Linked DNA regions of Oreochromis niloticus. The protein of the gene in region 1 interacts with the protein of each later gene in a biochemical or structural test. Links are inferred from orthologs where the notes say so. Each region holds a gene or a part of one and is shown in the gene's direction. Other genes may lie near its edges.

Region 1 (7,837 bases):
AAGAAGAGAAGTCAAGCTCAGTGATACATTTTTCTCCTAGAGGTGACTGAAGACAAAGATTATATCCAAGGTAAGAATGGAATCAATGCAACAATCATTTAGATTTTAGAGTATACTGGGTGCTTGTAAGGTTTTATGTGAAGTGAGTGATTTAATTCACAAGAGACACTTACTGCTCACAGGAGCAGCAGCCAAGCACACACTTGAAGCTTTTGAAGAAGAGAAATCAAGCTCAGTGATTGGTTTAACTATACAAAGTAACAGAAAATAAAGATTATATTCAAGGTAAGAATTAGAAAATCTACAACAACTTTTGTTTTTTACAGTATATTGGGTGCTTTTGTGATATAATGTAATTAACTTAAACCTTTAATATTGGTTAGAATCAGAATGGTATAGTGTATGTGCTTTTCTATCAGTGTCTAAATAGGACTGTTACAGGCATGAAGCACATGGCAAGCAAGGTGACCCAAGTGTGGGACCAATGGCTTCTCAGAATCTATTCTAACAGCTGATGCAGCACATTTGCATCTTAGCTTAGTGACATAAATATGAATCCCATAGAACTGTAAAGGAATTATTCATTCTGGATTAAAACCTTTGTTTAATGTATGAAATGTTCTTAGAAGGCCAAAAAAAATATATGCAGTAGTCGTGACAACAGACTACCCCTTCCTATGCTAAAAAAACAAAGTTAGTTTTTGTTTCATCTTTGAATTTCAAGTTGCTATTTTTTTAACAAAAACACTACACACATTGAAGCTATTAAGGGTTTCCAAAGCATCTGAACCCCCCCCAAACCCCCAACCCCCCAAAAATGCCAGTTCTGTGATTGACAGAAGGAACATGTGCACATCAGCAGGCCATGTGGCTGCCTGAGAAAAACTTAACCGAAGAAGTTCATAGTAAATTAATTTAAACTACAGGTGAAAATATAATTATTCGAAAACACAAAAAATACAGAGGTACAATTTCTTTTTTTTCTGAAAAATGTTACCCAATATGTTCTTCCCCTTTAGATGCCTGAGAGTTCTGCACACATTATGGAGGAGGAGGTGGAGACCTTTGCCTTCCAGGCTGAAATTGCTCAGCTGATGTCCCTTATTATCAACACTTTCTACTCAAATAAAGAGATCTTCCTTAGGGAACTCATCTCCAACTCCTCAGATGTAAGGGAAATAAACACTTCAACACCATGTTTTCCAATTTTTTTGAATGTAAAGCAAGCCCTTATATTTTTTGCCCCCCAAAACTATTTTAATTGAGTTATCTATTTTCGACAGGCCTTGGATAAAATCAGATATGAAAGCTTGACGGATCCCACCAAACTTGAGTCCTGCAAGGACCTGAAGATTGAAATCAGGCCTGATCTGCACGCTCGCACCCTGACCATCCTTGACACAGGTATTGGCATGACCAAAGCTGACCTGATCAACAACCTGGGCACAATCGCAAAGTCCGGCACCAAAGCTTTCATGGAGGCTCTGCAAGCTGGAGCTGATATCTCCATGATCGGTCAGTTTGGTGTGGGTTTCTACTCTGCCTACCTGGTAGCCGAGAAGGTGACAGTCATTACCAAGCACAACGATGACGAGCAGTATATGTGGGAGTCTGCAGCTGGAGGCTCATTCACAGTCAGGCCTGATACAGGTATGTCTTAGTCGCCTCATTTACACAACAATTGAATCAGTCATTTGACCTTGTCTGCCACGGTTCTAATTTTGTTGTTGATTTTAGGAGAGCCAATTGGCAGAGGCACAAAAGTGATCCTTCACCTCAAGGAAGACCAGACGGAGTACTGCGAGGAGAAGCGTGTCAAAGAAGTTGTGAAGAAGCACTCACAGTTCATTGGCTATCCCATCACACTTTTTGTAAGTTTTTAATTACACAGTAAGAACAATTATCCAATCAATACTTGATAATAACCACACATTGGGTGTGATAATGGTATGGCAAAGCAAAATTTAAATATGCCTTTGCATATTTAAGGTGGAGAAGACAAGAGAAAAGGAAGTAGACCTGGAGGAGGGAGAAAAGGAAGAGGAGGTTGAGAAGGAGGCTGCTGAGGACAAGGACAAACCTAAGATTGAGGACGTTGGCTCTGATGAGGATGAAGATACAAAGGATGGCAAGAACAAGAGGAAGAAGAAGGTCAAGGAAAAGTACATTGATGCCCAGGAGCTCAACAAGACCAAGCCTATCTGGACCCGTAACCCTGATGACATCACCAATGAAGAGTATGGCGAGTTCTACAAGAGTCTTACCAATGACTGGGAGGACCATCTGGCTGTGAAGGTAAGCTAAATCTTCTTGTGATAAAACATATTTAGCAACACCAGTTGCAATAATGTTATGCTAATTAATACATATCTATATCTTACCCCTGCAGCATTTCTCAGTGGAAGGCCAGCTGGAGTTCCGTGCCTTGCTCTTTGTACCTAGAAGAGCTGCATTTGACCTCTTTGAAAACAAGAGAAAGAGAAACAACATCAAGCTTTATGTGCGCAGGGTCTTCATCATGGACAACTGTGAAGAACTGATCCCAGAGTACCTCAGTAAGTAACAATAAAGTAACACATTAGTAATAGTGAACAAAATCTTGACCCTTTAATGATGCATTCTCTCAAAATTCATAGTTATTAGTAATTGTTTTTGGAACTCAACTCCTGGCTTTGGGTAGCTGACCAGTTTATTTTCCCTACTCAGATTTCATCAAGGGTGTGGTGGACTCTGAGGACTTGCCACTGAACATCTCCAGAGAGATGCTGCAACAGAGCAAGATCCTGAAGGTCATCCGCAAGAACCTGGTCAAGAAGTGCCTGGAGCTTTTCTCAGAACTGGCTGAGGACAAGGACAACTACAAGAAGTTCTATGAGCAGTTCTCCAAGAACATCAAGGTAGGATCATCCATCTAAATTTCTTACACTCTAAAACTTCAGAAAAAATGTATGATACCAATCATTTTGCATTGATGTTAATAACACAAAATGACACATTGTTTTTTATGCTTAGCTTGGAATCCATGAAGACTCCCAGAACAGGAAGAAACTGTCTGAGCTGCTCCGCTACTACACCTCAGCCTCTGGAGATGAAATGGTTTCCCTCAAGGACTATGTCTCTCGTATGAAGGATAACCAGAAGCACATCTACTACATCACTGGTAAGTTATTCAGTGTGGTTTCCTTTTCTTTTGTTTTCAAGTATTCCCTGGGAGTTTAAGTTCATATAACACCATACTGAAATAACTTTAACAGGTGAGACCAAAGACCAGGTTGCCAACTCTGCTTTTGTGGAGCGCCTTCGAAAAGCTGGCCTGGAGGTCATCTACATGATTGAGCCCATTGATGAGTACTGTGTCCAGCAGCTGAAGGAGTACGATGGCAAGAACTTGGTTTCAGTAACCAAGGAAGGCCTGGAGTTGCCTGAGGATGAGGAGGAGAAGAAGAAGCAGGAAGAGCTCAAGACTAAGTTTGAGGAACTCTGCAAGATCATGAAGGACATCCTTGATAAGAAGATTGAAAAGGTAATTTTTCTCCTTCAGAAAATGATAAAGTTATTATAGTTAACATTATTAGGCATGAGAAGCTTGCTTGACTGTGTTCAAACATACTAAAAATACTGTATTTCCATCCTGACAGGTTGTAGTTTCGAACCGTTTGGTTGCTTCCCCCTGCTGCATTGTCACCAGCACCTATGGATGGACGGCAAACATGGAGAGGATCATGAAGTCTCAGGCACTGAGAGACAACTCCACCTTGGGCTACATGACTGCAAAGAAGCACCTTGAGATTAATCCCTTGCATCCAATCATTGAGACCTTGAGGGAGAAGGCAGAGGCTGACAAGAACGACAAAGCTGTGAAGGACCTGGTCATCCTTCTGTTCGAGACTGCCCTGCTCTCCTCAGGATTCACACTGGAAGACCCACAAACACATGCTAACCGCATCTACAGAATGATCAAACTTGGTCTTGGTATGTATAGCTTTTCCTTCAAACATCCAGGTAGTAGTTAGGTTATTATACATTAATTGAGGAATTTGTTTTTTAATGGATGTATTTCTATACACAGGAATTGATGATGATGATTCTGCAGTTGAAGACATAATTCAGCCTGCTGATGAAGATATGCCAGTCTTGGAAGGCGACGATGACACATCAAGAATGGAGGAAGTTGACTAAATTATTTACTAGACTTTTTCTGGCTTTGATTTTTATTTTTGTAATTTATGTTCCTAATTTAAATGTACATTATTTTTTAGCAGAATTTCTGTTAGTAAACAATGTGCTAGTCAGAAAAAGTTGATGGAATTAATACAGACCACAGTGGCTTTAGTTTATATTGTATCAGCCACTTATAAAACTTCTGACAATCACTAAGAGTATTATTAAGTCACCGGGGTTTAGACTTATATCTCTTTTGTAACATTTTTTATGAAAAGCAATCAAATTTGTAATAAAATATATTTTAAAAATGACACCTGTCACTTTTCTTATCTTATCACCTGTCACTTAATTTTATCACTTGTTTTTGCTTCCTACAAACAATAATACTGAAAGGTGAAAAGTTGTATTAGAGAAGCGCTTAATACAGCTAAGTGGCTTACTTTTATCAATTACATCGTTTGATTTATCATGTATTCTGGAATTTTCAGTGAATACAGCATGGTTCATTCTAGTTTCTGCTCTCACATGCCTTCCTCATTCGGCTCAGCCTCCCCTCCCTTAATCCCGCCTCCTTCTGCCAAGAAAGGCAGAGAGGCATGTACACGCACCATGATTGACAGGGCACCGGGCCAGTGAGCGGCCACCACCGAGCAGGAGGATTCCAGACGGTTCTGGAAGCTTGTGTCAGGAGGATTTCTCGAATGGTCATAGAGGGTATAAAAACCGCACCGTTACACCAGTTTCCATAGAAGCATTAGCAGTCAACGAGCCTGCGAGTAAGGAGCGATCTCTACACATCTTCCTCAGGAGTTTTGGGCACACTGCAAACCAAGGTAAATGCATTAACAGCCTTACCACAGACATTTGGGATACGAAAATATTACACGCCCTCAAATTCAGATTTAATAGTACTAAATGTTAGCTTATTTGACAATAATTTAGAATCGAAGCTGACATTTTTGTCATGTCTGGATAGAAAGTGAGGCTGAAGTGAAGAAAGGGTGAAATGTAGTTACAGCACCTGGTCTTTAAAAACTGATTAAAAAGTATCTGCTCTGAAATTTTAATGTCAGCGTCATAAACGGTAATAAGAATTTGATTCCTATTGTGCCTCATTTCAGAATTCAAACCTGCGGGACAGTAGCCACATGGCAGGATGCTTTAGTGATGCATTTGGGAGGAAGGTGTTATGTTAAGCAGGGGTTTAACTGTTTGAACCTTAATCAAATTTCCTGTGCTAAGATTTCTGCAAGATTTTTTGGGCCATCTTATCCTTGTACCAGGTTTTAATTCAGTGCAAAATCAGTAGGGTACAGAGTGTGCATTCTTATAATCTCGTCAGCTGTATGAGAGGCGGGCGCTTTCGATTCATATGGAAACTGCTAGAGAGTTCTTCTTGCCTCCTCGTACCTTCTAGAAACTTGCACTTCACCTGGGAAACCAGCAGGTGGAGTAATTTCTGCTGATACCGATATGCAATTCAAGCCACGTGTTAATCTCTGATTAGCCAATAACCAAGCAGGATTGAATCACAGTCCAAGAAGGGGGGAAAAAAGGTCCTTGTACCTTTTAATACAAAATTATGAAAGTAAGCAAGAAAAAAAGAAACCAAAAAAAGTGACTATATACTACACATCTACACAGAATTTGCTTTAGTTTGAAGTGATGTTAATTCCTCAATGTTACATTGAGGCTACTTAATAAGGATAAGCTGTAACTGCAACATCTTACATAAGAAGGATTGGCAGTGTTTTTCAAGTGTATGTTGCTGGGATGCAAACATTTAGTGTTATAAAAAAGAGTATTTTATATTGTGTTTCAGTCACTTTAGTCAATGCATTTTTTTTAAAAACAATATTTGTTTTCCGTCTTCACTCAGATGCCTGAAATGCACGACCAACCAATGGAGGAGGAGGCAGAGACCTTCGCATTCCAGGCTGAGATTGCTCAGCTTATGTCCCTGATCATCAACACTTTCTATTCCAACAAAGAGATCTTCCTTAGGGAACTTATTTCCAACTCCTCAGATGTAAGTTTGCAATATTAGACTGTGTTGCTTTGTTTATTATTTAAAATAAAAAAGACATTAAATAATATGCTTTTTTCCCCCTTAAGAAATTGAATTATATTTTTATCAATACAGAATAAATTCTGGAATTTCTTTAAACAATTAACATTGTGTTTTGCTCCATCAGGCACTGGACAAAATCCGCTATGAGAGTCTCACTGATCCTTCCAAGCTGGAAACTGGCAAAGACCTCAAAATTGAGATCATTCCCAACAAAGAGGAGCGTACTCTAACCCTAGTTGACACAGGTATTGGCATGACCAAAGCCGACCTGATCAACAACTTGGGCACAATTGCAAAGTCCGGCACCAAAGCATTTATGGAGGCTCTGCAGGCTGGAGCTGACATTTCCATGATCGGTCAGTTTGGTGTGGGTTTCTACTCTGCCTACCTGGTAGCCGAGAAGGTGACAGTCGTTACCAAGCACAACGATGACGAGCAGTACGCCTGGGAATCATCTGCTGGTGGCTCATTCACAGTTAAAGTAGACAACTGTAAGTGATATAAACCCAAATTTGAAGTGAATTATTAATTATCTAACCCGGTGGTTATAAAGTATACTGACCTATGGTCTTCCTCTACAGCTGAGCCACTGGGACGTGGAACTAAAGTGATCCTGCACCTCAAAGAAGACCAGACAGAATACCTTGAAGAGCGAAGGGTCAAAGAGATTGTTAAGAAGCACTCACAGTTCATTGGCTACCCTATTACGCTATTTGTAAGTACTTAAGTCATATTTAATGATCCCATAGAAGAATTCAATTTGTAACTATTGCAGATAGCTTTTGCACTTTAGACTTCTGAGAAAGTTGCTGAATAAACCTCTGTAACACTGATATTATAAAATAGTGACTCCCTAAGGCTAAGGTGTAGGGAAATTCTTCAGCGTGTGACCAAATGTATTTTCCTTCAGGTGGAGAAAGAGAGGGACAAGGAGGTGAGTGACGACGAGGCAGAGGAGGAAAAAGAGAAGGAGGAGAAGGAGAAAGATGAGGAGAAGGATGAGGACAAACCTGAGATTGAGGATGTTGGATCAGATGAAGAACAGGACCATGAGAAGTCAGACAAAAAGAAGAAGAAGAAGAAGATCAAGGAAAAGTACATTGACCAGGAAGAATTGAACAAGACCAAACCCCTGTGGACCCGGAACCCAGATGACATCACGAATGAGGAATATGGAGAGTTCTACAAGAGTCTCACCAATGACTGGGAGGACCACTTGGCTGTCAAGGTTGGGCTCTTGATATGTTGTTTTAAAAATGTAGCAGTTCTTTATAGGAGGAAAATTGTGTCTGATTTAATGTAGCCCAATATATAATCACTTTTGTTTTTTTATTTTTTTTGCCTTACAGCACTTCTCAGTAGAGGGTCAGCTTGAATTCCGTGCCCTGCTCTTTGTGCCTCGGCGTGCTCCTTTCGACCTCTTTGAGAACAAGAAGAAGAAGAACAATATCAAGCTGTACGTGCGCAGAGTCTTCATCATGGACAACTGCGAGGAGCTCATCCCAGAGTATCTCAGTGAGTATTAAACTGTGGATTACAATTTCCCCAACAATAATAGAATTATAATGAAAATGACACAATGGACTCTTTAGAGTTTTAACA
Region 2 (7,315 bases), on another chromosome or scaffold:
ATTTATCCAATCTAGGTTAGTAAGAAAGGGGCAGGTATGGAACCTAATCATAGTACACCAAGAAAGAGTCAAAAATATATTTTTGACTCTTTATCGATGACAAAAAAAAAATGTTTTTTTTGTCATTTTTATTTTAGATTTTACAAATGAGATGTGAATGATTGAAAACTGTAGCAGGTTTGAAAGCTGTCAATTTCTGCTTTTTCCATGCAGGTACTACTACCAGAGAGGCATACTGAATAAGGTTGAAGGCCAGCGCCTCGTTTACCAGTTCACCTCTCTCCCCAAAGACATGATTTACATCACCGACGGAGATGGCATCAAAGAGGAAGACGACGAGGACCACGACGACAACAGCGTCAACGACGAAGGCATGAGCGACGACTCTGACAGTACCATATCGTCTAGTGACCATTCAGCGGAGGAGCAGGAAGATTCTCAGCCACCGCCAAAGAAATCGTCCCCCATCTCCGGCCGCGCTCCCGCTTCACAGCGCACCAGGCCCGCTCCCAGGCCCTCAGCTCAGCGCGACACCGTCCTGCGTCCCACCAGCTCCAGTTTGATCCAGGAACAGCATCTGCCTATCGTGTCAGCTGAGATGCTACGCACGCTCCAGAACCTGCAAAAGGTCCAGTCTCTGAAACCCGCCGGTCATGCCTCAGTCTTCAAAACGGCTCAGCTGCTGGGGAGTCTGTGCGAGCGACAGGCTGCTGCCGAGGTGGCCATAGGGAGAAAAGGTGTGCCGGAGATGTCCGAGAAAAAGTCGCACCCAGGACCAAAAACTCCACAGCTCATGTCTCTGATTAGCTCTGACCAATAAAAATAACAGGTGCCCACTTTCTATCGAACACACAGATGCCTGTACACTCCACCGACTCAGGACCACTTACAGGGCTGCACTTTGCTATGACAATGCTGATTTAAAAACAAGGACTTTTGGTGTAGAATATTATTTTAGATCATAAGTACAGATCAGTGCTTTTGTCACAGCGCTGACAGGAACCAAAATCTCACAGCAGTTTACCTTCTCAGCTTTGAAATCTGATCATTTCGCCTTATTGTCATTCTGTGTAGCCCTTTGTTAAACCAACACCAAAGACAGACATGCACTGGAATCTCTGGCCTCTCTGCACTGCCTGCAGACGCTTTCTCTGCTTGCACTTCAGCTCCAGTGTCCTGGAAGCAATTATCTTATCACCACACTGTGCCCTTCTTCTCTGCTTTTTGCTCTCACTTTCTCCTACGTTGTTTAGTTTTGTGTCTTCATGCTATCACGTCCTGAAGCATTCCTTTGCCTTAAAAGTGGCTTTGCACTAATGTTTACCTCTGCTGTATATTTCTTCTGAAGTGCCTGAAGATGTCAGTCCATCCTATTCCTGGTAATCATAAGGGAAAACATTCCATATTGTTATTGTTATTATTATTATTATTATTGTTGTTGTTGTTGTTTTTTAAGATTGCTGCAAAACAAGGGATCACTGTTATTTTTTCAAAGTAGTATTTTAGCACTTGCGCTGTTTATTATTTGTTTATCTACACCATGGGACTCTTTTTTTCTATTTTCTTCGTGACAATCACCAGTGAAGTGGCCTTGTAGCCACCCTGCCTCCTGTAAAATTATAGTGCTACTATTTATCTTTTCTCTTGTGCACTAGCTATCCATATATGAGTGCATATATTAAACTCTGAATCCTCTATCTGTATGCGTCTATTACGCACCGTAGGGCCTCAACATTAAAACCACTGTGTTGGCTGAAGTGAACACTGGTCATTTCGTTACAGTGCAATGCAATGTTTGGCTGGCGTTCACGTGGGTTTAGCATCAAGCTCAGCATTGCAGAAGGCGCCAGCAGCGGCATCGCTGCACAAAGCAGACCTACATATTACCAGGCTGGTGGTTTTAATGTTTTGGCTGATCTTTGTGTACTGTATGCCTGTGAAAGCTTGTTCTTTTGATGCCATTTTTTTTTTCCTTCCCTCAGGTTTATAAAGCATTTTTGTGCTGCACATATTATGTACTCTATGCAAGAAGTAAAAGTGAAATTGTTAGTTTATTATTTTCTCTTCGCCCGGTCTTAGCGTAGGCTCACGAAGCCGGCTTACAAACTTCACCTCACTCCAAATTTAAAAAAAAAATATGACTGAATAGTTAGGCTGGCTTTTTGAGAGGCTAAACTTGGCAAAGAGATGCTTATGCAGTAACTGTGCCTGCAGGGAACTCTTATGCAGAACTATTTTCACTTTGTTATAACATGTTTGTTTGTTTGTTTTGGTGTTTTTTTGCCCCTTGCTCTTCAGTATGTGTCTTGGGAATGTCTTACCTTAATAGATTTGTAAGCTTGTAGTAGAGGGAGAGGTGGAGCTTGTTTTTTTTGTTTTTGTTTTTTTTTAATGCTGTGTTGTGTTTGCTTTCATGCAGTCCAGTGATGTTAAAGCTAATCGTCTATTATATGAAATAAATTTACATTTGTCATTGTGTGAAATCCATCATTGTTCCTTTGGAAGACTTGGAGCATCAGTAGACGTAGCTTGGTGAGTGTATATGTCGCATTTGAGCAGTGCATTCAACTGCTGCTTTATCAGTAAAGGCCTAATGCAGTGATACAGATCTGCCAGAACTACTTCTACAGAATTCTGACACGATCAGTTTTTCTTTTTTTGCTGTTGTCAGAAAGGTGTTAATTCTATTTTTGATTTGGTGAAGTTGTTTTTTGGCTTACCACATTAACACTAACCCGTCCTGTCATCGTGATAACTCACAAACAAGCTGATGTAGGTTTTTCCAGCTGATACCATAGCTGCATTTACTAAAAATCATGGACAAGTTTGCATCTCTGTTACCTTGTCAGAGGTCAAGCTCTGTGAAAATCTTGTGAACATAGTAACTGAAGAAAAATGTCACATAGGCTTTTCAAATTGATACCATTGAGGAGCTTGTAGGTGGCTGAGGGGTAGCAATGGCGACCACCAGTCTTTTTAACATACCAGTGGTGCTAATCTGAGGTGGCAGAAGTGCAGATACCTCTGTTAAAAAGTGCTCTGGTAAAAGTTAAAGTACTGATTCGACTTCTTTACTCAAGTAAAAGTGAAAACTACAGGCTCTGAAACGTACTCACAGTAAAGTAGCTCTTTGGAGGGCCTTTCTATACCAGCTATTTTTGTGCAAAGCTAACTGAGCTATAGTAATATAATAAAATGACAGTAGTACATAGCAATGCAGTCTTTATTATATAATTTCTGATCTAAATTTTATTTCTAATGAATGTATTCAACTTGAATCAAGTATGCAGAACATGAACATAGAAAAAGAAGTTTATTTTGTGTTGCCTACAGTGTAGAGGGTGACTTTTCCTCTAAACAAGAAAATGTGTACAGTCAGGGGTTAAAGTTGATTCTGCACATGGGGAAACCCCAAAATCCACTGTAGAGGCTCAGTGTGGGGAAAAGAATGAGAACTCGCAATAATTTCTTCTGTGAGCTCCAGCAGATTTTCTTAGTGTACCGGCTGTGGTCAGCTGACCTGCTGCTCTTTGTGGACATACGCAACTGAATTCAACAGGATGTTACATGTTACACATACATACAGCATGTACAAGGATAGATAACACTAAATATGTCCCAGGGAAGAGGATTATTCTTCAGTCCAAAAGTTTTCCTCCTCCTGAGATCAGCAACAATATTTTTAAACACATGCAGCGTCACTGTTAGTTATCTTTTCTTCAAATAGCTACTTTACCTCTTGTTCTCCAGATGTGAACATTAATAATGTACACGACTACCTAGAATGGATGTCTTTTACCATCCCGCATTATTTCCTTAAAGAGACGTGCAACACAAATTTGTCGACTACAGTCAACATTACACCCCACAGCCGATTCGCTGTCTTATTTCCGTTGTTCTCTGTCTGATTACAGATCCAGCTGATGTTGGAGCATTTCATCCTCACAATGAATCATTGGACATTTTTGTGCTAACATAATAGGTCCATTGTACCATAGCTCTGACAGGAAGTCTGACTGAAGTCTGACTGAAATAAGCCATGTCTCCGTAATTCTCGGATATATTGTATCATTTATGTTTCCTGACCGTCTGGGGGAGTACAAATTGTTTGTGTTTATATTCTATCAGCCCCCATTTTTATTTTCATTAATGGTATTATACATTTGTTGGTGGGTGACCGTATCCAGTTTCAATTTAAACGTTTCTATTCTTTGACAAATCTGCCGCCTAATTCTCTGTCCAGAAAATCGTCTCCTTAAAAAAAAAAAGTTAGCGATAACTCCTCCGGGCCGTTAGGGGGAGTAGAGGCAGTATGAGCTGCGCGCAGCCGGATGTTGACAGGCTCTCTGCTGTGTTTGAGCTGTAACTGTTACCGCTATCACGTTTCTCGTAGTCTCCACATCTAGAACTTTCCTGTCACTCCAGAAACACTGTGCACATCCACAGAAGCAGATGGCAACCGAACGGTAAGTTCATCTAAATCTATCAATGAACTGTTCTTATAGCAGCAGACATTTCTTTTCTTTCAGTTATTTAACGCTAACTTGCTTTTTTTTGTTGCTTTTAGCAGCTTCCCCGATAGCTTCATTGACGAAGATCCACAGAAAGCTCTGCAGGTAAAACACTAGCCTCAGCTAGCCACAAACAAGTTTGTGCGATGCACGGTGGCTCTTGCAGGATGTCCATTTAACTTTAAATTCAGTGGACTTACTCTAGAAAGGAAATTGAGTAATACCTGTGGTGTTTGTGTTTCAGATATTACCAACAAGCTAGCGAAGTTAGCCAACATGTTTGCTAGCCCTATTTAGTTATGAATAAAAGTAATCCCAGAATCGCTTCGTTATCATATCAAACGGTCACCTGTTTCTTTAATACCATTAAGAATTAAATATGTCTCATGCGTGAGGAGGTATTACTACATAACGTTAGCTCGAAATAGTCTGCTGCTGGATACTAGCCCTGTCATCCTGACATGAAGTTGTTAACTGTCAACAGACTTAACCAGTGAAGTTTATTTCTGCTGTTTAAAAAGCCTCTGGTGAATCTGCGGTTATTTATGTGACTAACCGGGGCAGTATTATGAAAATCATTACAGTTTGATTTGCAGGAATAACACAGATTCAAATAGATTTACAGAGAGCTGATTCTTCTATAACGATATCCGACTGCGAAAGTGAAAGTTGCAGATGCATAACAGCTCTACTTTCGATTTAAGCATTTTTCTAGAAGTTTCTTTCCTGCCACAATTCTTGAAGCTGAAAACACGATTTTAAGCCCTTTATACAATAATAGCCACCTCGTTATTATTTTCAGGAGCTTAACGAGGCCTTACAAGGAGACTCAGACAACGCTGAGTGGTTTTGTCAGCGTGCCTATGCCCACATACTGCTCAAGAACTACAGCTGTAAGTCTGCATAGCACATGTGGAAACAGACCACACTAATTGTATTTTTGATGCATTATTAAGTGCATGAACATTATGTGCGCATTACAAATACGTGTTGTTTAGCTTTTGAGGTTTTACACTGCATGTGACTCAGCCTGGATATATGCACTGCATAAAGAAACATAGTAATTTTTTACTTTTGTTTTATGTCCACAGGTGCTGCTGATGACGCCAAGAAAGCACAACAGCTAAAACCCAGCCTCTCTCTTGCTTTCATGCGCACAGGGTATGGACTGTGAAATGCACGCCTTTACATAGCACTTTTCTAGCCTGACTGACCACTCATAGGGCCAAATTTACTAAAAGGGGCAAAATGGCAAGTGAGCACAATCCCCAAATAGTGCTCGCAGGTGTGGTTAGTTTTATAAGCAATGTACAAATATACTTTACAGTACAAGAAAAGCTTAAAAACACTGTGGGCCTTCCTCACATCCATGGCCAATTCAGAATCACCAACCTAACCCACAGGGGTCCACCCTGGCATGCAGATGTTTAGCTCAGTTTAGACTGCACTTCATTTACTGTTTGATATGTTCATCTCACCACTAAAAAAAAAAAGGTAAATTAACTAAAATAATAATTAAAACATGTAGTTTAATTGATTAAAAAATTATCCCTTCTGACACAAACGTACAGCCAGCTTTATTGACAAGATGGGATGAAACCTGCTGTGTATGGCTCATGTTTCTGATGTTATCTGACGGTTGTCACAAAACTTCTTTCAGCTCAGTGATTTCAATTCTGAAGGCCTTTGGTTCAGTGCTCCCCCCACACCCCAAACCTGACCTCTAACTTAAAGGAAAATTTTGAAAACCCGTCCTCGTCCATCAAACAAACTTCGGTCAGAGCTTTGTTTTAACACACAAATCACCAAAGTGGTACTGTCATGCTTTTTCACATTTTCCATTTCAAGCGGGCCTCGGAGGAGTCATCCTTGCCTTCGTCTCATCACGTTTGAACTATTGTAATCCACTCTACTCGGGTCTCAGACAAAATTCAGTCACCTGCCTTCACCTCATTCAAAACAAATTCACAGAGACAAGACAAAGTGATTTAAAGTTGAGCTGATTTGAAGCTTTTTTTAAAGTTGTATTTATTGTTACTTTTAAAACCTTGCATGGGCTCATCCTACCCGCACTGTAGATTTAGTTGGTTGGTGTTAATTGAGCGACTGGCTGCGTTTGTCAGGTCAGATCATTCTGTTCCCACAATACACCTCATTACATAGGTGTTTGAGTGTTTTCTGTTACCATAGCAACTGAGGTTAGCAAACTCAGTACTTTGAAATCACTACTCAATACTTTTCATAGTAAATCTATTTTTACTGCCCCTTTATTATTTCTTTGATTTACTTCTTTTCGTTGTGTTTATTCACCTGTTATTCACACAGCATGTTCAGATTTTATGCCTTGTTTTAATTTGTTGCCTCTTTGTTTTTATATATTTATCATGTTTTGTAAAGCAATTTGTAACTATATTTTATATATTTTTTCTTTATTGTTCTTATTATGTGGTCACAATATAAATTTGGTGTGGTTGCATTATGTAAAACTTCACGTTTTACGCCTTGCAATGTAAGAATTGTCTGAAACCTTTAAAGTTATACTTAAAAATGTAATTTCTAAAACTACCATCCATTCATTTTCTTCCGCGGAAGTGGAAGAAAACTACCAGTGTAGTAAGAAGTCTGATTTCTGCGCTTCCTCAGAAGTTAATGCACAAAAACTACCAAAACATTTTGCTTTAACAAGGTAAATCATACAGATGTTGTTTGTCAGATGAAGCTGCGTTTATTTTTCCAAGATTGCCTGATCTAAGTTCATGTGGCATGTTTTTCTTGCCCAACTGCAGAATAGCCGAATATCACCT
Region 3 (6,916 bases), on another chromosome or scaffold:
TAGTATTGTTTATCAGAGGTCTCACTCCCTTCTTAGAGTGTCACAGCTACAGACTTTTGATTCTTATTTGAGCAGCACCTGGTAATCTGTCGCCATAGCAAAAATGATCACATCCTTATATTTGGTGTAGATAACGGTACAGATTGTTTACTGCAAGAGAAAACACCAATTTTTCTGTAACGAGCCACACAGACATCAATTTCTTGGGGTCAGCTGCAATTTTCAGGCAATACCATCGCTGCAATAGGATGCTCTAAGTCTCACACCCACATAAAGCCATGTTGTGGTTGAGTTGAGTATGCACACTCCAACAAACAAAACACTCCACATATAGTAAGAGTGGAAGGCAGAGTCAAAATCTTCAACATGCAGGGGGTCCAAACGGTCTGTTTTGGTTTAGAGGATCTTGGAAGAGATCTTTGATATGATCACCAGTTAAAAACAGTCTAATCAGTTTTTCCCCATAGGTCCAATTAAGTGGTTATTACATTTCAGGGTTATGATACGTAAAATAAATAATTTCTTATGAAGTTAAAATGCATCATTTATACATAAGACCCGAATCACACTCTAGAAATGACTAGAAGCAGATTCTACCCACCCAATTAAACATTAAAATCATCTAATAAAGAACTTATGAGCAACATACTGTATTTAAATGAGTGTAACAGCCAAGATCAAATTACCCCTTTCTATTGTGACAGGTCAGAACTATTGCGTGGAAGAAAAAAGAATATTTTGCCAGCATAATGATGGAGCAGCATGTATCATTTTTTGAATACTGTTTTATAATTCAATTGCAGAATTGGTAAGTAAATGAAAAAGTTGGCAACATACGGCAGCCATCTCATATCCATATAGCAGCACAGATGTTTAAAATGTATTTTTAAAACAAAGAAATGAGAATATATGCATGAGCACACACAAATCAAACTGCACTGTGTATTAAAAGTTAATCTGTGGAATATGCATTAATTAATTAGTAGATTTTGGGCTGTTAATTGATGGAAGATTAGACTAGCAAACAGAAAAAAATAATTAATTGTAAATTATTTTAACATGGTGTTTTCTTTTTTCATTCATGATTATGAAATAAGAAAAAAGCATCAAAGAGTGACTTTTTGTTGAACTGATTGAATGAAATATTGGCTTAATATAATGTTATGGACGGTGGTTGTCTGATCTCTTTAAACAAATATATCCAATGAGTGTGACCTAATATGATAAAATGATAATTGCACTACAGTCAGGCATTTAGCTATTTTTGTGATATATGGCTATAAATTAGGAGTGAGAGAGCATATCTGAGAAGTCAATAGGATAAATACTGTTTTTAGGCTCAATGGTCCTGTTGACTATTAACATCTGTTATTTTGTAGCTCAACTGATAGCAGAGGAGGGACAAGAGTGAAAGTGAAGGGCCCAAATGAGACTGAAAACACAAGGTAAGTTTAAATGTATATACTCTGACCACGGGCAATGATTTTACACCATACATCTTTAATAATGTTAAAAACTGAAATTGGATGCATAAGTTTGAATTTATTTTGGATTTTCTTTAATCCACAAAATTTAAAGAATTATATATACAAGTTCAAATATATACATACAGTCACTTAAATTGTTAATAAGTGATGCTGAAGGTTCTTTTAGCTTGAAAGGGGCAAGGTCTATTAACTTCTTGTTAGTGATCATGACTGACTGCAGGCATCCAGCATCAAAAGGATTTGTTTGAGAGCACTCATTAGATGGACCAGTATTCAGAACAATGGAAAACTCCGAAGAAGACTGTCAAGACTTAAGAAGATTTGCAGATTTACACAAGATGGGATGCAGATTCAAACTGTAAAAGCACAAGTTATTTGGACACATCACTATTTTGCCAAAGTATGAAAGAACACACAAACTGTCATTCTCAGATAAGAGGAAATTATTTAGGATGTTCAGGAACAAACGATGAACCACCAAGGCTCAACCCTGTCATGAACTGAAAACTGCTGGAGCACCAGTGTCACTATCCATGGTGAAGATGGTTTTTATATATCGCCAAGGTCTCAGAGGGTACCAACCAAGAAAGAAGCACCTGCTCCAAAACTGAGGCCTTCAAGTTTGATTGTAATTAGCAGCTGCCCATATGGACAAGCCAAATGTCTTGTGGAGAAAAGCTTTGTGGTGAGATGAGACAAAGATTGAGCTATTTGGCCATGACAGCATGGTGGTGGTAGCATTATGCTCTGGAGATATTTTGTTGCCAGTGGTTCTGGTATATTTTGCAAAGTGAATGGAATAATGAAGAAAGAAAACTAGCTCCAAATTTTTCAAATTCACCTCAAACCAATAGCTAGACCAGGGGTGGGCAATCTCAGTCCACGAGGGCTGGTGTCCCTGCAGGTTTTAGATGTGTCCTCGAACCAACACAGCTGATTTAAATGGCTAAATTAGCTCCTCAGCATGTCCTGAAGTTCTCCAGAGGCCTGGTAACGAACTAATCATATGATTCAGGTGTGTTGTACCAAGGTGAGATCTAAAACCTGCAGGGACACCGGCCCTCGTGGACTGAGATTGCCCACCCCTGAGCTAGACCATTGAAACTTGGATATTGTCCAATTGTCCAACAGGACAATGATCCCAAACAGACATCTGAACTGGTTTCAGAATGGATGAAGCTACTGTTATAGTTTTCTGGTTATGATGTCCATGAAATCTGTTCCTCTTCTGAGTAGAGGGCCAGGGCTGGTTGAGCTCCTTCTCCTCCCTCTAGAGCAGAGCTCAGTCATCGTTATGCTGCCAGGTACACCGGTTCCTCGTCAGATCCGAATTAATTCCCAGTACTAAAGGACCAGTTGGTGCTTCCAGAATCCGCCAGATAGTCTGCTACTACCAAGCATGATCCTTGCTGGGCTCAAGAGCCAGTACACTTACCTGTCCCTTGGAATTAGTCCACTCACTAACTTCTGTCTCTGGGTAACCCCACTTGGACAATCTTCCAGCAACAAGTAGGAGAATCACTATAACACCATCTGTTAAACTGCCTGCATCTCCCTTTAAGGACCAAACTAACTTCTCTCTCCTCTCTCTCCCTATATTTTAACACTTTAATCATGTATTAGAGTACTAGTCCTGTTTACAGAAATTCATAATAACGATGAAACTTGTCACACTTTGTTTAACCTAAATTATGTTTTGGTAATACTAATACTTACTTTTCCATAATTTAAATTAGATACTTAAAAATGGTTTCACAGTCATATCTAACTTCCTGTCTTCTCTCTTCTGACTCTTTTTCCTCTCAGTACAGGAACCACAGGAGGAGGCAGCTCAAAGAGTCACTGCAGTGAGACACCATCCCTCTGAGTCTCATCTCCCTGAGTTTTTCAGGCTTTACCCACTTTTATTTTTAATAAACCAAAGATTATGCTTATAACTGGTCTTTGTGGTGCTTTATTGTTATGATTAATGTATGCATTTGTTGTTGTTTTAATCAGTAGTTATAGTCATAGTTATATCTTAATATAACTTATATTATATAACTTATGTTATATTAAGATTGGCTTTAAATTAAGCCAACTGTTTTTCTCCTCTTGGTGTCAGTGGTACAACTACACATGTATACTTTTATCTCTGAGTGCTGAATCCACGTGCAGCGCAACACACAACAGTGGAGACCGGTGATCTCTAGTCTTTTTGGTGTTTTACTTTGGAAATCGCAACCGGAATACGCGTGCAGTCGCACACTCACTGTTCTTCGGTTATACTTCGACCTTTGTATCTATTATTTTGTATCTGTTATTTTTGTTCTGTCAATCGTAATTAGATAACGAATTGTTTGTTTTTAAAACCGTGTAAGAGTCACTAGAAATTACATGAGACTATACAGTTAACACAGACCGTAATCTGGCGGCTTTTATTTTGGTATAGTAATCGGAAGTCGTATGTCTTTCCCATTCATCCCGTTCAACCTGCTCCAGTGCACCGGTTGGATTTAGCTAGCATCGCTAGAATAAGTGTTGATTTGTATTAAAACATGTCTTACCCAACACCATCCGACAAGCCTTCAAACCCAGAAAACCCCCGCGTCTTCTTGGACGTGGACATTGATGGGGAGAGAGGTCAGGACTGTTGTTTAACATCTATTTGGGCCACTTTAAGTCTTAGCTTGTTAGCTTAGCACTATCCTGGCACGTTCTAGTGACTTCTAGAAACTGATTTATATACCACATGCCAAAGACGCTATCAGCTAAAAATAACCCAAGCTGTAAATTACATGTGTTTGTCCTTTTAAAAGCCTTTACTTTTAGAGTATTAAGGCAGATTAAAACGTTTTGTGAGCCAGTTTTGTAAGTGTATGAACCACGTGTGCTTGTTTTGTCTTGTGTTACTATAATCCTATAACTGAAACATTAAAAGGTTAAAAGAGATACGAGTACACAGTCCATTGTATTATAATTATATGTTTAGGGCACTTAAAATGTTTTCAATCTTATTATTTCAATTTACCTAATCAATGATGATTTTTTTCAATATTGAAACTGTCGCTTGATAACCTAGTCCAGATTAATGTCATTGGTGTTGTAACTGATTAAACCGAGCTGCTTTCTGTCCTCAGCTGGCCGAATTGTTCTCGAGCTGTTTGCTGACATAACCCCAAAGACTGCTGAGAACTTCCGGGCTCTGTGCACTGGAGAAAAGGGCACTGGCAAATCGACTGGGAAACCACTGCACTTCAAAGGATGCCCGTTTCATAGAAGTAAATAGCCTTCATGTGATGTGACTTTTAACTTTGGAAGGAGAGCTTGAAGATGAATAGCTCAGTAGTTGAAAGGACATCCAGGGTAGCGAAGCATTTGGAGAATATATAGTTTATTGGATATTCAGCACATTTCCTAGGAGAAAATCCCAAGTTTTAGCATAATCAGTGGCTTGGAAACTAGGTGTATGAGTAACTATTTAAAGCTGTGAGTTTAGATAACACTGCTTGCATGGCTAAATTGCATATAGGTAAGTAAGAGGTAATAAATATATAATATTAATTCCTACAGTTTACAAATATACACAAAGTATGAGGTAGTGTATATTATAAATTGAATAGTTGCTTGTTCACACAAATGCTCTCCCTTAATAGTTGTGCAACAGAGCATTTAATATGCAGACTAAGTACCTAGATTCTCATGGGATTGTTGAGCCCTTGAGAGTTCAATTTTCATAATAAGACGCCTGGAACACTGTTGATATTAAGTTTGTTTAATGTAGGAAAAGTAATGTGGCTGTAAATTTGTTTTTGGCAGTCATCAAGAAGTTTATGATCCAAGGAGGCGACTTCTCAAACCATAATGGCACAGGGGGTGAAAGCATCTATGGGGAGAAGTTTGAGGATGAAAACTTCCACTACAAGGTACACGACCTATCACCAGGACTGCAAATTTGTAGCCATTTTCACACATGCACTGCATGTGCAAACATTATCCAGTCTTTAACTTGCCAGCTCTCAGTTACAGAGTATATGTGAATGCTGGATTACAGCAAAGGACAAATAGACATGTGTGTTGCCTCCTGGGCACTATATCCTGGCATTTAGCCACCTGAATTCAGCAATACATAAGCAAATGTTGCACAAGCTCCGATAGTATAAAGCTGGTAGAAAAGGTAAAATTCATTGACTGGATTTAATCAGTATCAGTTGCTTAATTTTAGAATCTGATGCTATGTCAGCTTATTATATAGGGAGGCACTAGCCCCTCCTGACATGGGCGCCACTTAGCCAGCCTGTAAGGGCTGGCGTAATGGTATTTGAGCTTCTGATGAGGTCACGCAGGAGGCGTTCCCCATAGTGAGACACGAAACGAATGCTATGAAAGAGAACTGCCCGGTGCAGTATTTTCATGCAATTTGAATAACACAAAGTTAGCTTGTTTTGCAAGACTTTAAAAAATACATGGTTGAGCAACACATGATGTATAGATCCCATATCTGATTTAAAAGCTCCAGGAGGTCACATGTAAGATATCAAATTTCCAACTTGTTGAACAATCCTTACCTTTAAAAACAATCTTATCTTCCCCTCCTGCTCTGTTGTTTTACATCTTTACACATCTCTGAGTGTTCCACATAAACCTTTTTTCTCTTCCTGGGAAATCACAGATGAGATGCACAGAAACACTTTGTGTACTTGAAATGACCTCCCACCTAAAAACATCTAAATGTTACTTTATGTTTCTCATCTCTTGTAGCTAATTAGATGTTGAGTATAGTGACTGCAGCTTTATTTATTTAATTTTATTTACATCTACTTCATGCATGCATCACAGGGGATGTAAAGGCTATGTGGGATGTCATTATGTTTGAGCAAGTGAAGCAACGCCAGGCTACAGCACACGAAAAATGACCTCATTCGGCAGTAATGCCAACAGTAATGCAGGTTTAATTACCTGTGAAGCGAACGTGCCGAAATGCTTTTCCAGATCGTTTCCGGCCTGCTTTAACCCCTCCTCGTGCCACACGTGAGAAAGGAGAACGGTGAAATAATCCGAACCTGATTCTCTTGAAATTGTCGGATGCTCATGTGTAAGATGGCTTATGATTCTACATCAGGTGATTTTAAAGAGTTAGCTGAATTTCTTCATGCGCCACGTTGTTTGTGAAGTTTTATCATCTTAAAAATGAAATGCTTGGCAACACAAACTCAAGAGCACGCTGGGATATTTGTGCCCTTAGTGCTTCTTGTCTTTCTTCTGCTGTCATTGTCTAAAGAAGCAGAACAAAGAAATTCAAAGTTACTCAGAAACGATGGCTATGTTTTTGGCTCATGTTTGATGTTCCAGCTGCTTTTTCCAACCTATTTTTTTCTCCATGTAGCATAACAAAGAGGGTCTTCTGAGCATGGCCAATGCAGGGCCAAACACCAACGGCTCGCAGTTCT
Region 4 (7,217 bases), on another chromosome or scaffold:
CTGTTGCAGGCTGAAGGCAGCAGGTTGAGTCAAAAGAAGCATGTACTACATAAGATTTATTTCAGTGCTTTATTTTTAAATTTAAATGAATATAAAATATACAAAATTATATCACTGCACCATTAGGTACTGTCCTTATTTCAGTACAATTTCATTCATATAAAGAAACATCTTACCTGAAAGATCTCATCTTTGTGTGACTCAAAGGAATGCAGCTTTAGCTTCAGGTTTCTCAAGTCCCAAAGAGCCACGGTCTGTGGGCGGCACAGATGTATATTACAACATGCCTGCAACATTTTCTGATCTCTGCAACAACACTGCAGTTACAAAACTAACAATACCATCAGGATTATTTAGTGAACAGTTACCAAATGCACTCAGTTAAAAGTCCTGCTGTTAATAAAGCAGTACCAATTAAGAAGTGGTGGAATATTGTATCACCTTGTCTGCTGAGCCGGTGGCAACGATGAACTCGCTGTAAGGGTTAAATGACAGACAGTTGACCTCTGCTGTGTGGGCCTCCACTGCATGGCTGGCGTTGGAGGTATTGTTTGAACGAGTGTCCCAGCTTAAAGGACAAGACACAGGGTGACGCTCATCCTTTTGCTGCATTTGAAAAAACTGTAAGTGTGCTTCATCTGCGCGTGGTATTTGACCGAGAGTCTTACATCATAAGCTTCTGGTCGTCTGCTACAGATCCAAAGAGCGACTCGTGAAGCAGATGCCAAGAGACATCTTCAACCACAGCACTGTGACCGGTGAAGACCGTCTTTGCATTTACTATCCTGCTCTCTTTGGGAACAGCACTGATGTCCCACAGACAGATGGTCTAAGTAACAAAAACCACATAAACACATCAAACCTCATGTTTGCACTTCAGTTTGGTAAAAACGTGGTAAAAGTGGAAAATGATTGTTAACAGCAGGTTTTTGGCAGTGCACATTTTTTCATACCTTCCTGACATTTCATTGAGGTCAGTTTATGACACCATTTGTGTGGAAAAAACACTTAGAAGTCACTGTAGCTATGAATGTAAAGCAGGGGTCTCAAACTCCAGTCCTGGAGGGCCGGTGTCCCTATTGCAAACACACCTGAATAAAATTAGTAGGTAATTAGCCAGAATATAAAACTCACCTGCATGCTAAAGTGGCAACCCCTAACCCCTACTCAAGTAAATTTACGTAAATGTAAGTGTTTGGAAAAATGTACTTCTAAAAGTACTTTTATTGCACCACGTTCATTCGCTCATAAGCTGCTGTAACATGAATCAAATGGCTGAATTGCCACCTCAGCATGCAGTCTAAAAGTTCTCTAGTGTCTTGCTAATGACTTACTAATTGCATTCAGGTGTGTTGCAACAGGGACACATGGAAAAGTTGCAGGACACCGGCCCTCGAGGACTGGAGTTTGAGACCCCTGATGTAAAGGATCAGCTGAGTAAATGATTTAATTCACCAGCTGGCACCAGAAATGCTAGTTCAATCACCTAACTGTAGAAATAATGCTATGTGATAACTACAGTAATAGAAACTGCAAATGAACAAAACAGAGCAGTTTAATATTTAAATTAAGAGCATTTCCACGTGCACGTCACACAGACAACTTGAGGGATTGGAACCAAACAGTGAATGCAAACGGTCATGAAGGCTAAAGTCGGCCCACCAAAATATCAGTGTGTGTGACTTTTTGGCAAAGCAGTCTACTTTTATTTATGGTACTGGAAATACAGTGATTGAAACTATTATGACATAAATATGTAAAACAGCCCTAGTTGGAAATATCTGCTGCTAAAAATGAAAAACAGAAAGCGCCATTTCTTCTTAAAACAAGAACTACTTCCTCTTACGTGATCATCTGACGCACTAAGAAGAGCTCCTGACAGATTTGAATTCCAGGATAGACCATAGCCTTCTTTCTGATGGCCTCTGAGACGCAGATCAGGGCGACACTCTCCTGAAGTATCTAAAGACAACATAATAAAATCAACTGTCAATTCAGAGACACTGGAAGAGAGGTGTGGTTTTAAAAGAACTGAACAGACAAGTTTGTTTTTGAGTAGCGACTCTGTGCGCCCAGTATTTATGTTTTGGTGAAGTTGTATAATTGTTTTAATACCAGTAAGCTACCAATTACAATGCACTTTTTCATAACGTACTCAAGAACATGCCATCTTCAGCAGTGTGTTGTGCTTTGTGTGACTGTTGCACCTGGCTTTGAGGGATGCTTGGTGTAATCAAACACCAGCACATCTGAGGTGGGGGTCTTAGTGGCAATGATGCAGGGGTTCTGGGGCATATAGCGGGCACGGTTCACTTCTCCTTCGTGATTGATCTTGATTTCAATCTCAATCTTGCCGTTTACTGAGCCAAAGCCTCCAAACTCTTCAGGGAAATATAGAGAAATATGTTTGCAGGCTATAAGTATATAAAATATGAAGTAAATGCATTATACATTCTCTTTATCAATATACCAACCTCCTTTTTCACTGTCGTAGTGTGAGGCGTCAAACTGGGCATCATCATTGGGCAGCTGCACGCTAGCAATAACCAGGTGATTCTGCTCATCAGAAGTGTGAGTGCCCAAAACGAGCCTGTGTACGCTGTAATCCTTCCCCTCGGGCCTGGTAGGGAGAAAAAAAAAAAAGGTTTTTAATGCATTAATGCCAATTTCTTGCATGTTTGAGATATATTACCGGCCAAATGTGTAAACGCTTCCACCTTGAGACGTCAGGTAACCACTGAACAGTCAGGCTGGGCCACTCTAAGGCATGGGTCATAACCAGGTCGTAAAGAAAGGGGGTGTTTTTCTTCCAGATCTTGTACTCTTCATTGATGACCCTCTCCTCCACCGCATCATCAAAAGCACCAGCTGAGGACAAAATTGTCACAGAACCAGCGATGATAATTGGACACACAGTAATACTGTACTTTTTATTTAGTTACAAACACCCATCAGATATGTCCATAGCTTTCACTAACTCAAGCTGTTAGTTTAATATTAAATGTTGATGTTACTAGATTTATTTCTGTTACAGTTAATCAACAACAACCTTTAAAAGTTGGTCTTTACAGTCGACAAATTTCGCTATCAAATGATTTGACTGTTAACCTGACAAGGCCTCGGTATTTATCAGTGTTATGAGAAACTTCTCATTGTTCCCGCACCTTGCTACAGCGTTAGCATAACCATAAGATGTGAACTCATTTCTTCACCTCTGCCCGGTATTCACACACAAATCATTACCCCAACTTTTCAGAGACGGTGCCCAAACAATAACTGAGCTTTGACATCAGTAAAGTTCACCTTCACACTCTTAAATTATCCCCGCTTGTGTTGACTGTTATAGAGTAAAACACAAGAGCTACGGGCAGCTTGCCCTAGCTGCCACCTAAGCTAACCGGGCAACTAGCTGAGGGGCGTCAAACAGAATCGTTTCTTTTTGCTGACAACTAAAATACTCACTTACCTTCCTTGTCTGCCATTATGTTTCTCCCACGTAGCTGACAGAAAACTGAGAGCTGAGGTGTGGTTAAGGTGTACAGCCCCTTGAGCCTCGTCCAAGCTGGTTCTCCGGTGTGCCTGCAAACCCCCGGTACCGTTTAAACCACCGGAGGTACAACGGCACGCTAAGAACTAGCTAACCGAGCAGCCGACTGTGAGAGACGTGGGTGCATTCGCGCGCTCGGTACAAAGAGGGGCGTCTTCCCACCAATTACGGCGCAGCACCTGTGCGCGTGGCTATCGCAGACTCCGGTGCAGCTGCAAGTAATTTCGATGGCTAATGTATTGTTATCCTTAGTAAAATATACTGTTACAAACTGGAATTTATGAAGGTAAACACCACCCGTGTGGTTATTGTGTTTCTTGGGGGATTTGTCTGGACTTTAGCAGATGCACATCAGGTAGAGCACTATCGTTGTTGTTCTTCTGAAAGCTGCTGTTTGCGTTTTTTTAATTAAAATGTAATTTTAAGGTCACAGAAATATGTCGCTTTAACCGCCTGTGGTGCGCATATAATGCGCGTGACAGAATGAATGATCTCTGGTGAGCAGTTCTCATTTTAATGTATTGGTTCAAATCGCACGTGATACTGTCACTTTTTCACTACACTCGTGCCAAAAGACAACAAGCCTTTACCTGTTTGTCATTGGTCAACAGTAAATTTCCCCCCTTTAGTATGAGGACTTTTGATTGGCCAGCTCCAATAAAGCGCTTTCCCATAGGCTAAGCATGACGCGGGCCCTTAAAAGGTCAAACATAGCTAAATCCCAGTGTAAAGTAGCTAACCTCCGTCCAAGTGCTCCGAACACAGTCGGTATGTCTGCGACTGATATGTCCGGTGTGCTGGATATCCTTCGGTTACTGTACCGGCACACGCAGACACTGGAGGAGTTTTCGGACAGCATCGTGTTCAGAGAAGGACAGAAAGCAGCTCTCATTGAGCAGACAGATACAAACCGATTCAAATCTTTCGTTAGGAGTGTTTTTGTGTGCTTTGACAAGGAGCTACAGCAGGTAGCGAGCTGTAAACAGGTAACGTTTCGCCGGATTGAAAAATATACATGTACATTTCCCAGGTTAGTCCTGAGGAGTTGATACGCAGCCCTCTGTGGACGTTTGAAGCGGTGTAGCTAACTCTGCCTGCCATGCTGTTATAATGTTAAAGCCAGGAAACCATGTTACACTCCTATATTTTGAATATATATATATATATATATATATATGTATATTGAAACTAAGCTGGGAGAAAACTATGCGCTGCTGGAGGATATTTAAGCTTCAGCAAGGTCTTCTTTTTTCTTCTGGGGCACTTCCCCCCCCATTTCTCCTTTATTAGACATGTTTAAATGTATCCAGTTATAATGACAGATAGTTAATATCAGCCGATATATTCGTCCGGCTCTACACGGGGACACGGGGTGGGCCCCACAATAATATTGTAAAAGGGTTTTCACTGTGCTAAGTTATACGTGGAATATTTCATTTCAGGATCTTTCGAGTGCCATGACTCTTTGATTTAATGGCTCTGGTTTTAGTTAGTAAAGAAAATGGTAACTTTGAATCAATTTTAATCACATAGAAGAATAAAGAACTCAGAGTATTGTTTTGTAGCAGTCTCCGGGCTAATATAGCATAGAGTTATATTATATTGAAATGAGACTTGTGGTATAGATGCACACATCAGTAAGCTGACAGGTTTATAAGAGAGTCTGAAGTTTTGCCTTTGTCAGGGTTTAACAGCTTAATGGGAGATGGCTTCTTCTTATATATTCATACTTTCCACAGATCTGCAGTCTGCCTGAACTACTGGCGTTTGTTCTCAACACTCTAAAAAGAAAAAGAAAAAGGAATGTCTTGGCACATGGCTATAACTTTCAGACCCTGGCTCAGGAGGATCGGGATGCAGACTTCCTCAAATTCCAAGGCGACGTAACACAGAGTGCTGCCTACATCCACGGCAGTGACCTGTGGAAAAAAGTCACAATGCGTCTGGGCACAGACATCACGCAATATCTTCTGGAGAGCTGCTCTGTGTTTGTGGCAGTTCCTCCTTCGTGTGTTTTCCAGGTGTGCGGCCCTCCAGTCTATGACAGGGTGTCCATGACCATGGCCTCGAGTGGGTTTTTTCTCCAGCCTGGAGTCAGGAAACATAATCGTACCAAGATTGAGAGCTGTCGAGGGTCAGTGAGTTTGAAACAGAAACGCACAGTTGTGAATCCTGCTGCAAGCAAGAAGATGAAAAGAAGGAATAAAGGAGGGAAAAAAGGGAAAAGAAAACGGGAAACTGGTGAAGAGGAGGAGGTGGCGGTTTGTTCAAGAAAGAGGCGGCGAGTAGCGTCTATAGAACATCAACAGGCGATCCAACCAGTTGGCTCTGAAAAGGAAGGACAGGTTGTGCCTGTGGAATCAGCACCGCCTGCAGCTTTCAAACAGCCTGTTGAAATGCCAACATTGGAGGGCGGTCCTAGTTGGAGATCAGGGATTTTCCCCCCTTTACCACCCTCGCAATGTTTTATCCGCACCCTGGGATTCCTGTATGGGGGCAGGGGCATGCGTGGCTTTCTTCTTAACAGGAGGAAGAAGACTGCTCATGGATCCAGAAGGCTTCAAGGACAAGATCTGGTAAGAATAGTCTTCTTCGAGGGACTAGCGTATTTGAATGGAGTAGAGAGGAAGCCTAAAAAACTCCCCCAGAGGTTCTTTGGCATGGTCCCCCTGTTTAGGCAGCTCTTACAACAACACAGGAGCTGTTCCTACACCAAAATACTACAGAGGTTATGTCCATCAATAGAGGAGAGCAATGCAGGACAGGGAGAACTAAACTCACTCTTACCTCAGCACTGTGCACCGCACAGGGTTTACCTGTTTGTCCGGGAATGCCTCTCTTCTGTGATCCCGCAAGAACTGTGGGGCTCTGATCAAAACCGGCTGCATTTCTTTGCCAGGGTCAGGACTTTCTTGCGAAGTGGCAAGTTTGAGAGGCTCTCACTGGCTGAACTGATGTGGAAGATAAAGGTGAATGACTGTGATTGGTTGAAGAGGAGTAAAACAGGTGAGGTTATCATCAATGATCTTTTTTTTTTTTTTCTTTTTGATTGCTTCGTGTTTCATGCCTGACCGAACCAACGTAACTCGTCTGCAGGCTGTTTTCCACCCAGCGAGCTTGCGTATCGGACACAGGTCCTGGGTCAGTTCTTGGCTTGGCTTCTGGATGGATATGTTACAGGCCTTGTGAGAGCCTGTTTCTATGCAACAGAGAGTATTGGGCAAAAAAACGCCATCAGGTTCTACAGGCAGGAAGTCTGGGCCAAACTGCAAGACTTGGCCTTCAGGTACACTCACACAACATTACTACAGTAGCCAGCATACATACAGACATGAGGCATACGTCCAAAAAAGGGAACAAAATTTGCTTTTCATGTAGAGGTCACCTTTCCAAAGGCCAGATGGAAGAGCTGACTCCAGCTCAGGTGGCATCCCTGCCCAAAGGCACCGTCATCTCCCGCCTTCGCTTTATTCCCAAGACTGATGGCATGAGGCCCATCACACGAGTCATAGGAGCAGATGCCAAAACAAGGGTACGCACCGACAATTACCTCAGACTTGTCTGTTATTACATGCTGTGGGCTGGATTTTCAACTTTTTTTTCCTCCCTACAGCTCTACCGAGGCCGTGTCAGGGACTTGCTGGATATGCTGCGGGCCTGTGTGCGTGCC

What was found.
Region 2: the proteins of hsp90aa1.2 (region 1) and sugt1 form a complex in vitro, tested with the Homo sapiens proteins (4 studies listed by BioGRID, with this or other methods). The link is inferred for Oreochromis niloticus from reciprocal best matches to the Homo sapiens genes HSP90AA1 and SUGT1.
Region 3: the proteins of hsp90aa1.2 (region 1) and ppid form a complex in vitro, tested with the Homo sapiens proteins (2 studies listed by BioGRID). The link is inferred for Oreochromis niloticus from reciprocal best matches to the Homo sapiens genes HSP90AA1 and PPID.
Region 4: the proteins of hsp90aa1.2 (region 1) and tert form a complex in vitro, tested with the Homo sapiens proteins (2 studies listed by BioGRID). The link is inferred for Oreochromis niloticus from reciprocal best matches to the Homo sapiens genes HSP90AA1 and TERT.

The regions. Positions count from the first base shown.
Region 1 is NC_031980.2:5,312,188-5,320,024, forward strand, and holds the start of hsp90aa1.2 (heat shock protein HSP 90-alpha), read left to right. Parts: upstream 1-4,819; 5' UTR 4,820-4,997; intron 4,998-6,043; coding exon 6,044-6,193; intron 6,194-6,359; coding exon 6,360-6,726; intron 6,727-6,816; coding exon 6,817-6,950; intron 6,951-7,145; coding exon 7,146-7,463; intron 7,464-7,584; coding exon 7,585-7,750; intron 7,751-7,837. Other genes in the region: hsp90aa1.1 (heat shock protein HSP 90-alpha 1), read left to right, coding at 1,020-1,169, 1,284-1,650, 1,738-1,871, 1,990-2,295, 2,390-2,555, 2,707-2,897, 3,013-3,160, 3,255-3,523 and 2 more. UniProt on the Homo sapiens protein: Molecular chaperone that promotes the maturation, structural maintenance and proper regulation of specific target proteins involved for instance in cell cycle control and signal transduction.
Region 2 is NC_031982.2:7,942,052-7,949,366, reverse strand, and holds the start of sugt1 (protein SGT1 homolog), read left to right. Parts: upstream 1-4,306; 5' UTR 4,307-4,452; coding exon 4,453-4,466; intron 4,467-4,567; coding exon 4,568-4,616; intron 4,617-5,313; coding exon 5,314-5,404; intron 5,405-5,602; coding exon 5,603-5,672; intron 5,673-7,297; coding exon 7,298-7,315. Other genes in the region: ETS-related transcription factor Elf-1, read left to right, coding at 214-820. UniProt on the Homo sapiens protein: May play a role in ubiquitination and subsequent proteasomal degradation of target proteins.
Region 3 is NC_031966.2:12,642,603-12,649,518, forward strand, and holds the start of ppid (peptidyl-prolyl cis-trans isomerase D), read left to right. Parts: upstream 1-3,906; 5' UTR 3,907-4,024; coding exon 4,025-4,109; intron 4,110-4,606; coding exon 4,607-4,747; intron 4,748-5,285; coding exon 5,286-5,392; intron 5,393-6,852; coding exon 6,853-6,916. Other genes in the region: spmip2 (uncharacterized protein C4orf45), read left to right, coding at 1,380-1,445, 3,294-3,354. UniProt on the Homo sapiens protein: PPIase that catalyzes the cis-trans isomerization of proline imidic peptide bonds in oligopeptides and may therefore assist protein folding. Proposed to act as a co-chaperone in HSP90 complexes such as in unligated steroid receptors heterocomplexes.
Region 4 is NC_031985.2:28,041,018-28,048,234, reverse strand, and holds the start of tert (telomerase reverse transcriptase), read left to right. Parts: upstream 1-4,215; 5' UTR 4,216-4,230; coding exon 4,231-4,533; intron 4,534-5,286; coding exon 5,287-6,553; intron 6,554-6,643; coding exon 6,644-6,833; intron 6,834-6,925; coding exon 6,926-7,079; intron 7,080-7,160; coding exon 7,161-7,217. Other genes in the region: histone-binding protein RBBP4, read right to left, coding at 177-254, 442-568, 669-829, 1,847-1,962, 2,208-2,381, 2,475-2,620, 2,718-2,868, 3,467-3,482. UniProt on the Homo sapiens protein: Telomerase is a ribonucleoprotein enzyme essential for the replication of chromosome termini in most eukaryotes. Active in progenitor and cancer cells. Inactive, or very low activity, in normal somatic cells.